Caenorhabditis elegans: one gene and its partners. The protein of the gene in region 3 binds, or shares a complex with, the protein of the main gene of each other region. Each region holds a gene or a part of one and is shown on either strand. Other genes may lie near its edges.

Region 1 (5,228 bases), on a different chromosome or scaffold from region 3:
GTGCAAACATCGAAAATGAAGTGGCCAATTGAAATATGAGAGTGAAGAAAGAATTGGATGAGAGAGAACTTGTAAAATCCAAAAAAAAAAACATTCGACCTAATACCAACCAGTCGAGACGAAGAATGGAAGACGGCGAGACAACGAAACCAGCAGCACAGCCGCCTGCCCGCCCTATAAATTGGACTTGAAACAGAGACGACGACGACGAGGAAACTGGTGGGTCTGGCTGCGCAGTCAATGCACACAACGGCTACACCACCAGAAAATTGAGGGAGAACACAGAGCACCGTTGTGCAATTCCTCGAAGGTCCAACATCTGTTGAGGCGAAAAAAGCGCAACAGTGTTCGAGCACCTGTTCGTCAGATGGTTCAACAAAGAGATGAAAGAACATTGAAAGATTTGTGATACATGCTATATTCGTTTTGGGAAAATTTTAGATCAGCAGATTTTTTGTTGAATTGTGAACGATTTGTGGAAAAATTCTCGAAATTTTTGAAATTTTCAGCAAAAATGTTCATAACGTTGTGAGATTGCATTGGGAATCCCACCGAAACATGGCATGTTGTGAAAATATATAAAGCTTGTTTATAAATTAGATGAAACTTAAAAAAACGGGGAAAATTTGATATTAAGCAACTTGAAATTAAGTTTAAAAAACTGCCAGGAGTCTTTGATGATTGAAAAATACCTAGTAAAAATAATGCATAATCTCACGGTATAAATTTTTTATTTGAAGAAAAATTTTAAAAATTTAAGGGTGTAGAATGACAAAAGTACGACCGTTTGTAAACTTATCAAATTTTGTTTAAGAATATGTATGTATTATACAAAAAGAAGATAAATGTGTGTAAAATCATTTTTTTAAGTGGCAGTATCATTTAGTGATTTTTAAAATGCAAAACCGTTTTCAACACACTTTTAAACTACTTTTTTTGTAATGAAAAAATTATTTTCAAAAGTATTCTCGGCAAAATATCTTAGTCATATTCAAAATGGGCTATCATTGGGAGTGTTTCCATCAAGATGTTTTCACAATTTAGTAACGATTTTCAAGCCCCAATAAAAACAAAAACTATACCGCAAATACTTGTCCAGATTCACATTAGGTCCTAAAAAATATTGTCATTCGCCCTAGGATTGAACTGAAAATATAGAAAAACACTGGCATGGAAAAGCAAAAAAAAATTTTTTTTGACAAGTTCTTCTTCTTCTCGAAATTCCCATACTTATTTTTTTCCATTAGCAATTGTAATTGTTCATCATCGTTTCCATGTTCTATGACACCACTTTTCTAATGTCTTGGCTGTGTCCTTCTCCCCTCCATTGCCCATGTTCCTCTCCCGCTCTCTCAAACACGCATTAGCTAGAGATAAGGTATCCAAGGAGTGTGCAGACAGTGTGCAAACACCATCACGGCATTTTGCGGACTTCCCTTTGAAGACGACATCTTATTTTTTATTTCTTTTTGTTTATATTTATTTTTTATTGTTAACTTTCCTCTCTTATTTGTAAATTTGTATTCAACTCGATTAAATTTCGATTTTAGAATGGTTTCCACTCCATCACCGAAAACGAAAGTTTACCTGTTGGAGCAGCGGAAGAATCAAGAGCTCAACATTGAGCATATTGACGAGGAAATGAGATTGGAACAGGTCCGGCAAGCCGCATCAAAAATGGAATGGACATCATTCGGGCAGGCTGTGAGGCGAAACTTGTTGGTAACTATTTTCTTTAAACTTATTTATTGTGAAAGACAATTTGAAAAATGCATGAATTGCAGGAAAAACGTAACACAATCGATGCTGATGGTAGAATTGACGTGCTCAACGGGATTGCGTACATGAAAACAAAAATGCCAATCGAGGAAAACAATCTGATGGAGGAGAAGATACGGGTTATGGCTGAGAGTCTTGGGTAAGTTTTCAGTTAGAGAAATGGCGTTAAATTTAGAAAACTGCCATAAAAACCTGGCTTTTTTGGAACCTAGAATTTAACTGCTAAAAATGATAGAGCATTTCCTTGCACCTATTTTTCACATGCATCAAAATGTATAATTTTTGAGTGCTCTTAAGGTAGAATTCATTTGCCGATTGAGCATTAATAACTTGGAAATCTATTTTTCGTAGCACCTGTTGCTTCAAGAAAGAAAAAAATCAAAAAGGAGTAGACCCACATATACTTCAAATTTTCTGAAACACTGTCAAGTTTCATGTTTTCTTGAAGAACCAAAATCAGTTCCACATCGGACCCTAGTTTGTAATAAAAATATTGTACTTGTATCCAAGATTGAGACGCAAACCTGTCAAAAACTAGAAGAGTTTACCGACTGCCAATTGCTAGAAAATAATCGCGTACTAAATATACAAAATTAAGAAAGTGAGCACCTACTCAATTTCTCTGAAATCTTTACACATTATTACATTTCACAAATAAATGAAAGTACTGCACAACATTTGTTTCTCGATAGACTAGTTTCCTTTTAAAAAAATTAGAAACCTGGTACGTTGGAGTCCGACAAAACTTATACATATTCCAACGTTATCCACTTGAAATTTGCCTAGCCATAACTTCTAATCGCTCAAAATTTATTAAAATACATAGCTCACTTTTATTTCCAGATGCTTGCACAAACAAACTTCTCGCGGATGGTCCATCAATCGTCAAGAAGATCTCATCATGGACTTTACTGTCAACGATGGTGAAGTGACAACCGTTGTGCTTAGTTTTTGGGAAGAGCCTTCATTCTACTCCCCAGAAGCTACAAGAATGCTCCAGTTAGGGATGTGGACAGAGCTTCGAAACCGAATCTCAGATATGCTGTTGACGTATGATAAGTTGTTGAGCAGGTATGTTGTTTGACTTTGAGCAAAGCAAAAAATAATGCTTCTAGAACTCACTCCCATTTTTCAGAGACGATCGTAGAAACTGCATGGGAGCTATGAGAATGCTCGAGATGCTTTTTGGACACTTCTCTCAAGACCCTTCCTACACTTCAATTCACAGATCCAACTATGGGTAACTTTATAATTATTTTTTTAATGAAAAATTTTAATTTTAGTTTCTACCTTCCACGTAATGATCTCCGCGCAGGGCGTGTATATTATTTGGCGGAACCACACTTTCGGAACATTCGCTCCAAGGATCATATTTTCCAGTTACAAAAGGATGATCACGAAGTTTTGCCATACTTTGAATTTTCGTTTGCCAAGCATGATAGCCCGTGTACACTTCCAGAGTTTGACACAAAGTGAGTTCATTCACATCTTAATATTATTGAAAATTGTAAATTTCCAGAGGCTGGGCAGAATCTATTGAAGCAAACGCTGTGATTTGTATGAAGCTATCCAGAGGGTTCAATCTTACTGAAACGACTAGAAAGAAGTTGGGAGCAATCAGTGCAAAGACTCCATCCGTTAAGCATTTCACAAATAGCTATCGCTACGTGACTGGAGCGGTGAAGATTGAGAACAACCTGCAGATGATTACACAGTTTGGCGATGGACAAACTCAACACTTCTACAATGTCGATGTGAACCAGTTGCGCAATGATGGTGACTCTGTGATCACTGAGATTTATTTGAAGCATTTGCAAGATTTTCATGAGGTAAGCAGTAGTAACATAGATTGTATTTTAAAAGCGCCAGTTTCATGATTCAATTAGCAAAAACATAAACATTTGAGTATCTTTTTTGTTTTGAGAAAATAAGCATACATGCTAATGCATGCTTTACATAATATGGACACACATTTTGCAACTTTCGGTTTTTTGCCACAGGGAATTATTGAACTTTGTGAGTCCGTTCAAATACTAGAAGTAGAAATATTATTTAAGACATCATTAACATATGTAGTCAGATATTCCACTACTCGATAAAAATAAATTATAATTGCAGATAATTGCAATTCTTCGCAACGAAGCCATGCATATCAGCCTTTGGGAGTCGATGATATCCGCGTGTTATGAGAAGCAGGGTATGAAAAAGCACACGGTTGCCGCAATCAAGATGGACGTTTTTCTGACAAGAGAGCAAATTGTAATCACCTTTGATACAAAATTTGCGCCGGTCAAAGGTGAGTTCTAGATAGATAAAGTGTTTAATATTAAGTAAATTTGCAGTTGTAATCCAGGATAGTGGAGTTTGTGAGGCAAAGGTGAATGTTGTGCATGCACAGACAGGCCTCCAGATTGCTGAAAAGATTGATGAAACATTGAGCAGAAAACTCAATGAGTAAGTTGAAACCGTACACTAACGCAAACGCAGGACTTGTTGCAAAGTTCCTGAGAATGTCAATAGCAGTTTTGGTGCCAACTCTTTGTCCATAGAACATCCTAGAGAAAACATTTGAAAATTTCAGAACTTGGAGCATTCCAAATATGCTTACCTACGCCGTGTCGGGTAGTGACTGCAACTTGGCAAAGATCAAAGTTCCGTTGAGAAGTGAAAACCCGGAGACTGTGGGCCCAATTCCAACTTATGCGGCTGGACGTTCCTTCTAACGGATTTTTGACTTATGATGTGTTTGTATAGTTTTTGTTTTATTATATACTTGAGCCTTATTTGATACTCATTTTGATTGTTGTGAATGTTTGAAATTAAGTTTTATATGCATTTGTATTATTTAAAATTTGCCATCTGAATTTTTCAAAGAGCTGAAAAGCAGAAAAAAATGATTAGAGGTTTTTTGCATGAATACTGAAAGTTGATTACTTAGGGTCAAAAATATCTTTAATAGTCAAACTGGGCAATATTTTCTTTAATTATGTCAATTGTAAGCTTGCTGAAAATATATAAAAGTAGCTCTAGTTGCCCAAAGACCTCGAAAGTTTACCCAAACAACTAAATTTCATAATGAGACTTTTCAAAGTTTTTAAAATATTTTACATTGCAGTTCAAAATTTCAAAAAAAAACTGTTCAATTCAGCTAAAATCTTCAATATTTATGTTTGTATGTGGCACATGGCCGGAAATCAATGTTCATTTAATGATCATTGAAATTTTGACCTTTCTTAAAAAGTTTTAAAACATTTTTGAGAAATCCGATTGCATAATTTTGTAATTTGGGATTAATATAATTTACAAACTCTGTTTAAGCATGAAAACCCAAAAAATTGATTTTTTGACAAATTCATTATTGACAGAAACTATATCCATAATTACGTATATGTTACAAATTTGACAGGAGACTGTTGTGGAAAGAAACGGTGATAGCATTATAAAGTTTT
Region 2 (5,871 bases), 5.9 Mb from region 3:
TTCGTCTTTGCTCAGGCAATCAGCACCGAACTCTCTCTCTGTTAGAAAATGTCGCCAGTTGCTCGGGCTCTTTCCCTCTCTCTCTATCTCTCTCTCTATCTGGCTCACCGACCGCGTGGTGGTGCTGCTTCGTCGACACGCTCGTTTGGTGATAAATGATTTGCTCCCCCTTTTCGTTTTCTTTTTCTTCTTGCGTTGATTTTTCACATTGTTATTGCACTTGGCAGTGTCGTATTTTTGTGTTTTTATTTTGACCCATAAGTTCTAATACGATATCTTAGGCTCCCAGCTTGACTGGTGCTCTCATAATTTGAAATCAGAAGTTTTTCTTTTAAAAATTGAAAAAAGTGCACATTTTTCTTAAATTTTGAAGCTAAATATTTGAAATCTTCCACACTTCTAGTTTAATTCTCGATAACATCTGATAATTCTTTCCAAAATTTCAGGTCGAGCTGGCAAACATGGAAAAGCAATCACATTCCTCACACCTGACGATACTGCCGTCTATTTCGACTTGAAGCAGGTAAAAATTGTGGACGGACACCTTCCAACACACGTGTAATTGGTTTACTTTCCAGTGCGCGCTAACCGAATTCCCTTTCGTCTTTTTTCGCGCGCGCTCTCCGGCACTTCACACATGTGTTGTGGTGCTGGAAGGTTGCCTAATTTCTTGCACTTGAGCTGGTTTTCTCTCTGCGACGAAAATGGATTTTTTGTTAGGCGGAAAACGGAATTCGTTTTTTTTGTAAGAAAATGAAAATTATTCGGGAATGATAAGACCGGTAAAACGTTCCATAAGATAAGAACATATTTCAGCGTTCTAGAGCAATTTAAAACAAAAAAATGTTGTGATTAATTCTACAATTTTTGCGCCGAAAATACGGTACCCGGTCTCGACACGACAGAAATTGTTGTTAACTGCGAAAGGTCTGCGTCTTTAAAGAGTTCGGTAACTTCAAATTTTCATTACTGCGGTAATTTCAAATTTTCATTTCATTGAGTTTTCCCATAAATTCATAAATATATTTTTTTATCGAAAAACAATGAAAAATCTTTAAAAATTCGACTGAGATTAAAGTTTGGAGTTACAGTACTCTTTAAAGGCGCACACCTTTCACATTCATCAAGAGAGTGTCGTGTCGAGACCGGGTGCCGTTTTTTTGTCAAAAACTAGAAGAATTACGTTGACGCGAAATGTATGTCCCCTTGCTTTACAAAATTTTATACACAAAACATTTAATTTTTAAATTTTCCAGGTTCTCGTTGAATTGCCTGCGTCGTTATGCCCGAATGGACTCGCGGAACATGATGCTGCACGGAGCAAACCTAGACAATTCACATCTTGATGTGAAAGTGAACTTTTTGTTTGAAAATTTCAAACATTTTTCAGTTTTTTTAAAACTTACCAAATCTTCCAAATAATACTAACCACCACATATCTTCCATTAAAAAATTTAACGTTTTTCAGCGTTCTGAATATCTTATCTCTCTGGTCCATTTCTCCTACAGAATATCTCTATCTCATAATTGCCTATTTTTATTTGTTTTTCTTTCTTAATTTCAAGCGTTTGGGATATCTTATCTCTCTCAACTCCGTTTATTTTTTTCTCCTTATCCGTCTCCTTATCCGTATTCCTTTATTATTAATCTCTTCTTCGTTCAACATCGCTAAATATTTTTTTCAATTCCTAATTTCAGGTCAAACCGGGGAACGAATCAAAAAGTGATTTTGCCGTCGGCGATCCGAAAATTTTGCCGGCTCGTCGACTATTGACGAGAACAAGAGGTGAGAAAATGGGGAACTTTTTGATATTTCCATCCTGATCTTTTGTGAATTGAAAGTTGAATCACAATAGATCGATGCACCATAATACAAAAAGTGACAATTTTTCCCCACTTTCAACCATCCATTATTCTATTTCTTTTGCAGGAATCGTCGTTATTTTTCGTTTGCCGCGTTCGTCGTTTTGATTTGTTCTTCATTTTCCTTCTTGTCGATAATTGTGTGTGAATCAAGACGCTCAGAAAGCCGCCGCCACGTTGACGTCGACGGTTGTTGAATCGCTTGCAAAAGCAACATTTCAAAAACAAGAGCAGAGTAGAAAGATGAGCGAAGAGGATTGGCCTTCGCCGAAATTTCGAGAGCATGTTATTCAGAGACTGTAAGCTTTTTTTAAAGGAATATTTTTTTGATAACCGAGAAAACATTTTAAAAAATTTTTTTTTTGTTGAAAATTTCCAAAAATTTCCATTCAAAATTTTGATAAATTCCCAAGTATTTGTAAATTATAAACCATAGGAGCTGATGTCACAAATGTATCCAGGCTGTACTCTTTTTAAAAATGAAAAAAAAATCCCGAAATATAAAAATTTTCCAATTTTCAGTGAGCCTGAGTTGGCGAGAAACCGGCAGAATGCCCCAAATTTACCAGTACCCGGTGACGCGAGGCAGGTCGAAGAATATGTGTTCGCAAAGTGTATGTCGAAGGACGAATATATGAGGACGATCGCAAAAGTGATTAATGCTATCAATTGTAATAGTAAATCAGCGGCAGTGCCTTCCGTGTTACAACCATCACAGTTTCATAGTCCGCCGTGTACGACAGCAGGTAACTTTTTGTAGTTTTTTGTGGCAACGAAAATCTAAAATTTCAATTAGCTCTATTAGGAAACACTCCGGCTGGCGGAACACCCGGATATCGAGCTCCTGTGCCTCCAGATCCACAACCAACATCAGCTCAGGCAAGAAATCCACCTGTTACCGTAGCAACAACACAGGCATCAACAACTCCATCAGCACCAAATCCGCCAGGAGGATTGCCTGCTCCATCAGCTTCTGCCACTGCTGCTGTTGCCGCCGCGGTTGCTTCATTTCCATCACCAGATACAAGTATTCGTCCAGGTGGACAGATCACTCCAGGATCACAGGCACCCGGTGGAGGTCCGACGCCGGCACCAAATGTTCCATTCCCAAATGGAAGCAGCCAGATGAATGGTGGACCAGCAATGGGTCAGCCACCACCGCAAATGGGTGCTCCAAATATGGGTGGACCACCGAATGGATACGGTGGTTACGGTATGATGAATGGACCACCTGGTAGTGGTGCTCCAATGGGTGGAAATCCGTACAATCAGCAGATTAAAAAGGATGTGAGTTTATTTTTCAAATGTATTTTTTTTTAATCTGCTAATTTTTCAATTTTTGATTAATTTTTTTTTCAGATGGATCAAGCTCGTCCTTGGGATCCTTCAGCACATATGTATCAACAACAACCACAATGGGGTGCAATGCCACCACAACAACCACATGGATATCCTGGAAGACCAATGAACGGTCAAGGAGCCACTCCAACCGGTCCTTCATCAGTTCTTGAATCACTTATCAATCAGCCTCAACAATATCCAGGACATCACAATCAGATGGGCCCACCTGGAGATCGAAATGTTGCTGCTCAACGTGCAGCTGCCCAACAACAGCAACAACAACAACAACAGCAGCAACAGCAACGACCCGGAATGGTTCCAAACCAGGGAATGATGAGTTCCGAGGATCAAACCGTGTATTCTGCGAAATTGAGAAATATGCGTGGAAGCTGCGACAGTTTGAGAACACGAGCAAGGCAATGCAGACATGAGGGTAACCATGAAGCTGCTCACAAGCTTGAGGTTATGCTCAGTGTGCTCGAAGGAAAACGTGTGGTTAGCCTTGAATACTTGAACCATTTGGAGATGTGGATTGCCAGAAAGCAAGACTTCTTGAATATTGCTCCAATGTCACAGAATCAGAATCATATGGGAATGAACGATCCGATGATGAACGGTGAACATGCTATGTTGGGTAATGGTCAGGTGCCAAATCCCTACGGAGGACATCCAGGTTATGGACATCAGCAGTATATGGGACCTCCACCACCACATATGCAAATGCATCAACCACCAATGTGGCATCAACAGCAACACCAACAGCAGCAACGAATGATGCCACAGGATCATATGATGATGCAGGGTGGAGGTGGTCCAGTTCATGGAATGTATCGTGGAGATATGGGACACGATCCGATGACATCACCAGTCAACAATCATCGTCATGCTCCATACCCGAATCCTGCAGCGATGAGAAACAATATGAGAATGCCAAATGGTCCTGGACCAATTGGAAGAGATCGTAATTCGATGAGTGGATCAAGTATGTCAGGTCCAAGTTCTGGAGCCCCTTCAATGAATCCAATGGGTACACCGAATCAAAAAATGGGAACACCTGGATCAATGGGTGGAATGTCAGGACTTGATGATCTGAACTATGATGATTTCCTTCCAAACCCAACGCCGATTGATGCACTTCAGCCAACATTGCACGTCGGGCAGAATTCGATGAATGTAAGTTTTATATTAAAAATTGAGTTTCTCAGCTTTCAAAAAAAAAAAACACACAAAGTATCCTCAAATGATTTTTGAAAAAAGTGAAAAATAATTGTGTCGCCGAAAACACGAAAAAAAAAATCGAAAAACGAAAAACCTCTGATCTCAAACAGGGACACCAAAAACATTTTAGACCAAAAACAAAACATTTTCGTATTTTTTCTTCTCCCGACTAAAAATCAACATTTTCGCAATTCAGTTTTTTTTTCTTTTTTTGGTCCGAAAAAACCAACAAGATTACCAAAAAATCTATTTTTACAAAAAAAAAATCAACAGCCAATCAATAATCTCAATCAATAAATATTCAGGCTGGTCCACCAGTTCAACGATCAAATCTCAATGAAACAGCAAGAAAGGAACTTCAAATCCTTGATGCTCGATTCGAGATTGATCCAAACCATCAACGTCATGATGCCAATCATATCATTGTCGTCTGTAAAATCCGTAATCAACAGTTCCCACCACTTCGACTCGTTGTTCCAACCACTTATCCAGCTGGAAATGTGACTGTAGATCGAGCAGTCATTGATTTGGATGCATATTTGTATGATGATCTACAAAATTCAGTATATGAGAGATTATCACGACCCGGTCTTTCGTCAATTACTGACTATTTGAATGCTTGGGTAAGTTCTTTCGCTGAGAAAGGGAAATTTATGAAAATTGCACTTCAAATTGAATTTTAAATTTATAATTTTCTACAGGAAGAACAAGTGAATCAATACCAAAACCAGACAAGCGGTGGTCTAGACGTCGCTTTCAACGTGGGCAACGATTTCTTCTACGATAATCTTAACTTGTAAGTTAGGTAGAGTGCATTAAGTTTCTTTTTTTGTGCCTGCTCACTAAAAGTTTTGTTATTCAATGTTTATTTTTGTAAAATAATAAAAAATATGAAAAACATTATAAAATAAAGTTGGAAGTGAAAAAATTCCGGAAAGTTTTAATTTTTGTAATAACTTTACAAAAAGTATTACTCAAACGCGAAAGTTTACGATTTTTCACCAAAATTACGGTAACCGGTCTCGACACGAAAAATGTTGGTCAAATGCGAAAATATGTGCGTCTTTAAAGAGTACTCTATTTTTTCATCGTTTTTTGATTAAAAAAATATATACCTGTCAATCTAAAAAAAATACCCGAATTTGACAATGAAAACACAATTAATATGATTTGAAACATGATTTTAAAATTACAGTACTCTTTAAAAACGCAAACCTTTAAAAAAATTAGAAGACAGTTTTTTTTAAACAAACTGTTTTCTTCTCAATCAATGTTTTCTAATTTTCAGGTCAAATCCGTTCTAAACTCCGCCTCGTCTGAATTGAATTGCTCAGTTGCACAAAACCTGTACAAAAAAGAAAATCGAGTCTTCGTGGAATGGATTCAGTTGTTGTTGTCCTCTATAAATGATTGTTTTGCCTCCTCCTCCTATCATCAGCTTGCCCTTCT
Region 3 (4,987 bases):
AAATCTTTGAAAATTCCATTTTCAGCCATAATTTCAGAGGAAAAACCTGAAAAAAAAGCATAGAAATATCTGCAAAAAATGCATTTTTAGCCGAAAATCTCTTTAAAATACCCGATTTTTCATCAAAAAACTACCTAAAAAGTCGCAAAAAACGAGGATTTTTATGGAAAAAATCTGTAAAAAGCCAGAAAACGCAAAAAAAAGTCAATTTTCGTTCAAAAAACCCCAGATTTTTTTATTTAAAAAAAACACCTAAAAAGTCGCAAAAAACGAAGATTTTATGGTTTTTAACGCAAAAAAATCTTTTTTTTTTCGATTTTCTCGAATTTTCAGATGTTTCTTGCACTTTCAGTTGTTTCCAGCCAATTTTCATTTCAAAAATTCGATTTTTCCTAGAAAACCACCTAAAAAGTCGCAAAAAACGAGGATTTTCAGGTTTTTAACGCAAAAAATCCAATTTGCTCCGATTTTCCCGAGAAAAAAACCCTAAAATTTCAATTTTTGCAGGAAGGCGACCCAGTGTCATGTTTTTAGCCAATTTTCGTTTAAAAATCCGATTTTTCATCCAAAACCACCAAAAAAAGTCGAAAAAAAAATAATTTTTCCTTGAAAAATTCAATTTTTTCCGATTTTTTCAAATTTTCAGATGTTTTTAGCCAATTTAAATGCTATTTTTCATTAAAAAAAACCCATAAAATTTTCAATTTTTTCAGGAAGGCGATCCAGTAACCTCCCATTTGCTTCCATCTGGCAGAGTTCCAATTGGTCACGTATTCCTTCGCGGTGACAACGGCCCAGTTTCAACAGATTCCAGACATTTCGGCCCGGTACCTGAAGCCCTTGTTCAGATAAGGCTCAGCCTGAGAATATGGCCTCCAGAGAGAGCCGGATGGATTTCTGATCATTGGTTTTGGGATAAAAGTGATAGAAATGCAGAGAAATAGGCTTCTTTTTCAGTGTAATTATGTGCTTTTCCACCCTTTTTTCCTGGTTTTTGTCTCACTTTTTTTTTTGCCATAAAATACTATTTTTCCATGTTTTTCTACTTCCATTTTCTATTTTTTTAATGGGTTTTAACCCTATTTTTACCTGAAAAAAACACTTTTACAGCAAAAATTCCATGAAAACTATCAATTTGAAGCCAAAAATCCAATTTTTCATCAGAAAACTCTCTAAAAAGTCGCTAGAAAACTAGAATTTTTGGTTTTCAGCGCAAAAAAAATTCAATTTTTAATTGAAAATTAAAAAAAAAATTAATTTTACTCATTTTTTATTCATTTTTATCCGATTTTCAGAGCCTTTCGACCAACTTTTCATCAGAAAACTACCAAAAAAGTATCAGAAAGTATGGATTTTCAACGCAAAAAATTTAGATTTCCATGGTAAAAAGTTGAAAAAAAAAATCGATTTTCACTCCATTTTAATTCATTTTTATCCGATTTTCTCGAATTTTCAGAGTTTTAGCCAAGTTTCGTCTAAACAATTCAAACGTCTACTAGAAAACCTCCTAAAAAGTACCAAAAAACGCACAAAATCCGGTTTTTTATTAGAAAAATACCTTAAAAATCGCAGAAAATAAGGATTTTTTTTAGTTTTTCAACTCAAAAAAATCAATTTTTCTTGGTAAAAATTTGAAGAAAAAAAATAATTTTTATCCGATTTTCTCAAATATTCAAAGTTTTTTAGCCAATTATCTTCAAAAAATTCAAATTTCTACTAGTAAATTCCTAAAAAGTTCCAAAAAACGCATAAAATCCGGTTTTTTATCAGAAAAATACCTTAAAAATCGCAGAAAATAAGGATTTTTAGGTTTTCAACTCAAAAAAATCAATTTTTAATGGAAAAAATTTGAAAAAAAAAATGAATTTTCACTCCATTTTAATGCATTTTTATCTGATTTTCTCGAATTTTCAGAGGATTTCGACCAATTTTTATACGAAAATTCCAATTTTTTATTAAAAACTACATTTCAAGCTCATTTTCAGCCCAAAAACTCTTGAAAATGGCTGATCGAATGACCCAACTACAGGATATGATTAACGAAATGGCCGGATTAATGACAAATGCGATTGGAGTGCTCCAGGCGACTGCTCCGCCATGTGAATTTGGAGCAATTTCACAGGAGCTTGAGGATGAGCCAAATTGCGCGATTTTTGCCGCTGGAATTGCAAAAGCCGCTAAAAATATTGAGGTTTTCTATAGAATTGAGCATTTTTCGGCCAAATTTTCAGAAAATCCTAAGCAAAAAGCTTCAGAAAAGCTGTTTTTCTCGTTTTTCAAACTATTTTTAGCCTGTTTTAACTCAAAAAATTCCAGAAAATTCCAGGAAACCCTAATTTTTATTCAAAAAATTACAAAAAAATCCTCATTTTTACCCGACAAAAATTTAAAATTTGTATTTTTCTATTTTTTTTAACTGAAAATTAGATTTTTTTTTGAAATTTTTGTGAAAAGTGGATTTTTTTTTAATTTTGAGTTTTTTTTAGTTTTAAATTAAATTTTTTTCGGCTGAAAATGAGGATTTTTGTAATTTTTGAAAATTATTGTTTCCTGGAATATAAAATAGTTTGAAAAACGAGAAAAACTGCTTTTCTGAAGCTTTTTGCTTAGGATTTTCTGAAAATTTGGCTGAAAAAATTAATTTTACAATATTCAGCCAAAAAATTTCAGAAAAATTCAATTTTCGGGTGAAAATTTGAAAAAAATTGTGAAAATTCGATTTTCCGGGTGAAAAATGAAGAAAAATCGAAATTTTTCTTTAAAAAAATTCAAAAATCCACATTTTTAGCCGAAAAAAAAAATTAATTTAAAATTTAAAAAAACTCAAAATTAAAAAAAATCCACTTTCCACAAAAGTTTCAGTAAAATTAATTTTCAGCCAAAAAAGTACAGAAAAATCCAATTTTTATTGAAAATTTTAAGCAAATTCTCATTTTTGCCGAAAAAATCGTGATTTCTACCCAAAAAACAGCAAAAAAAATCCAATTTTCTGTCGAAAAATTCAATTTTCGGGTTAAAATTTGAAAAAAATTGTGAAAATTCGATTTTCCGGGTGAAAAATAGAACAAAATTAATAATTTTCTTGAAAAAAATCTCAAAAAAATCGAATTTTAGGTCGAAATTCTTTTGAAAATTCGATTTTCTGGGTGAAAAATGGCTAAAAATCGAAAAAATTCAATTTCCAGCTTAAAATTTCGGGAAAAAACCAATTAAATAATTTTCAGATCCTCATCGACTCATTCCCAATCGAAGCGGGCAACCAGGAAGCGGAAGTCGAGGAGAAAATGATAAAAAACGACGAAAAGCAGCGAGAAAAAGTGAATGAGCTCGTCGGACTCGTCGGCGACAGCAATCGGCTCGTCGGAGTTGTTCAGAAGAAGCTTGCCGAGATTTCAAAGACACAAATGAGCTCGAGACCCAGTGAATAATTATTATATTTTGCCGATTTTTGCCGATTTTTTATTGTAATTTTCATCATTTTTCCATTATTTTGGGCCGATTTTCTGGTAAATTGAGAAAAAAAAATCAATTTTCTAGTCCATTTCCTCTTGACAATTCTTTAAAATCCAGAAAAAATTGCCTAATTTGCTGTGAAAATTTCAATTTCATATCGATTTTCATGTTTTTTTTCCATGTTTTCAGCCGATTTCCATTTTTTTTTGTGATTTTTCCTTAATTTTTCGATTTTAAATCAACTTTTTTTCCATTTAAAATCGATTTTTCATCCCTTTTTGCCCCTGAAAATAGTTAAATTCTAATTAATTTTCCCCTATTTTTCTTGAAATTTTCGATTTTTCTCATTTAAAATCGATTTCCACCACTTTAAATAATTAGAAATTCCCAGAGAAAATTGATTTTCATAGCAAAAAATTATTTTGGGCCGATTTTCCCGGAAAATTGAGAATTCTAAATCAATTTTCTAGTCCATTTCCTCTTGAAAATTCCTTAAAATCCAGAAAAAATTTTGCCTAATTTTCCGTGAAAATTTCAATTTCATATAAACTTTCATGACTTTCTATTAAAATTGGGATTTTTCCCATTTAAAATCGATTTTTCAACCCTTTAAAATATGTCAATTTTAATTTATTTTCATTCATTTTTTCCCATTCAAAATTGATTTTCTACCCTTTTTTCTACTGAAAATTTGCTAAATTTGAAAAATTGTGGGTAATTTATCTTTTTTTTTTTAAATTTTTTTCCTCAAAAATAATCATTTTTAATTCAATTTTCCCCCATTTTTCTAGAAAGTTGCCAATTTTTCCCCATTGAAAATCGATTTCCACCACTTTAAATAATTAGAAATTCCCAGAGAAAATCGATTTTTTTTCAAATTTTTCCCTTGAAAATTCCAAAATTTCTTAAATTTCGAAAAACTGTGATCTCTTTTTCTTTTTATTTAATTTTTAACTGTTTTCTGTATTTTTGCCCATTTTTTACACTTTTCCCCCAGAATTTGGGTATTTTTAAATTTAAAATTTGATTTTTTTTTTAAATTTAATACTCCTCATTTTCCTATTCTATTGGCAAAAACCATGGTTTTTTATCTGAAATTCTCTTAAATCTAGCCTAAAACCCTAGCAAAACCACTTCCAGATGGCCCAGAGCACACAAGAAGCAGAAGGAGAGCAACAGAGGCGACAAGCTGTGCTCCGGGAGCGATATTTGAGCTTTTTGCAGGTGAAAATTGGACATTTCATCTACAAAACCTCTCAAAAAATCGATATTTTTGGTGAAAATCTGAAAAATTCAGCGAAAATTTTGAAAAAAGCCACCGATTTTCTCATTTTTCAAGTCTAAAAACTGAAAATTTTCCAAAAATCCCAATTTTTGTGCCATTTTTCCCCGAAAATTCTCGAAAAATTCCAGAAATCCGCCGACAAGCCAGCCACCATCGAAATGTGCGAACGAACTACGGTCACCGCCACAATTAAAGCATTTCAACCGTCTTCGGAGCACGTGATCGTCGGTACGGTGGCCGTGGCCTAGG

What was found. The genes of interacting proteins can lie anywhere in the genome.
Region 1: mdt-21 (region 3) and mdt-1.2 share a complex: the UniProt entries of both Caenorhabditis elegans proteins name them as parts of the mediator complex.
Region 2: mdt-21 (region 3) and mdt-15 share a complex: the UniProt entries of both Caenorhabditis elegans proteins name them as parts of the mediator complex.

What each region holds. Positions count from the first base shown.
Region 1 is NC_003284.9:17,149,972-17,155,199, forward strand, and holds mdt-1.2 (Mediator of RNA polymerase II transcription subunit 1.2), read left to right. Parts: upstream 1-1,550; 5' UTR 1,551-1,551; coding exon 1,552-1,722; intron 1,723-1,784; coding exon 1,785-1,918; intron 1,919-2,622; coding exon 2,623-2,850; intron 2,851-2,914; coding exon 2,915-3,019; intron 3,020-3,062; coding exon 3,063-3,251; intron 3,252-3,298; coding exon 3,299-3,608; intron 3,609-3,897; coding exon 3,898-4,075; intron 4,076-4,121; coding exon 4,122-4,233; intron 4,234-4,360; coding exon 4,361-4,502; 3' UTR 4,503-4,676; downstream 4,677-5,228. UniProt on the Caenorhabditis elegans protein: Component of the Mediator complex, a coactivator involved in the regulated transcription of nearly all RNA polymerase II-dependent genes.
Region 2 is NC_003281.10:5,829,573-5,835,443, reverse strand, and holds mdt-15 (Mediator of RNA polymerase II transcription subunit 15), read left to right. Parts: upstream 1-1,698; 5' UTR 1,699-1,786; intron 1,787-1,930; 5' UTR 1,931-1,967; coding exon of another isoform or gene 1,968-2,060; 5' UTR 2,061-2,106; coding exon 2,107-2,162; intron 2,163-2,385; coding exon 2,386-2,609; intron 2,610-2,659; coding exon 2,660-3,150; intron 3,151-3,222; coding exon 3,223-4,377; intron 4,378-4,727; coding exon 4,728-5,045; intron 5,046-5,123; coding exon 5,124-5,222; 3' UTR 5,223-5,319; downstream 5,320-5,871. Other genes in the region: R12B2.6 (uncharacterized protein), read left to right, coding at 1,291-1,422; R12B2.13 (uncharacterized protein), read left to right, coding at 1,968-2,060. UniProt on the Caenorhabditis elegans protein: Component of the Mediator complex, a coactivator involved in regulated gene transcription of nearly all RNA polymerase II-dependent genes.
Region 3 is NC_003281.10:11,775,642-11,780,628, forward strand, and holds mdt-21 (Mediator of RNA polymerase II transcription subunit 21), read left to right. Parts: upstream 1-1,979; 5' UTR 1,980-2,002; coding exon 2,003-2,191; intron 2,192-3,224; coding exon 3,225-3,428; 3' UTR 3,429-4,487; downstream 4,488-4,987. Other genes in the region: immp-1 (Peptidase S26 domain-containing protein), read left to right, coding at 714-944; C24H11.5 (Gem-associated protein 7), read left to right, coding at 4,594-4,677, 4,867-4,966. UniProt on the Caenorhabditis elegans protein: Component of the Mediator complex, a coactivator involved in the regulated transcription of nearly all RNA polymerase II-dependent genes.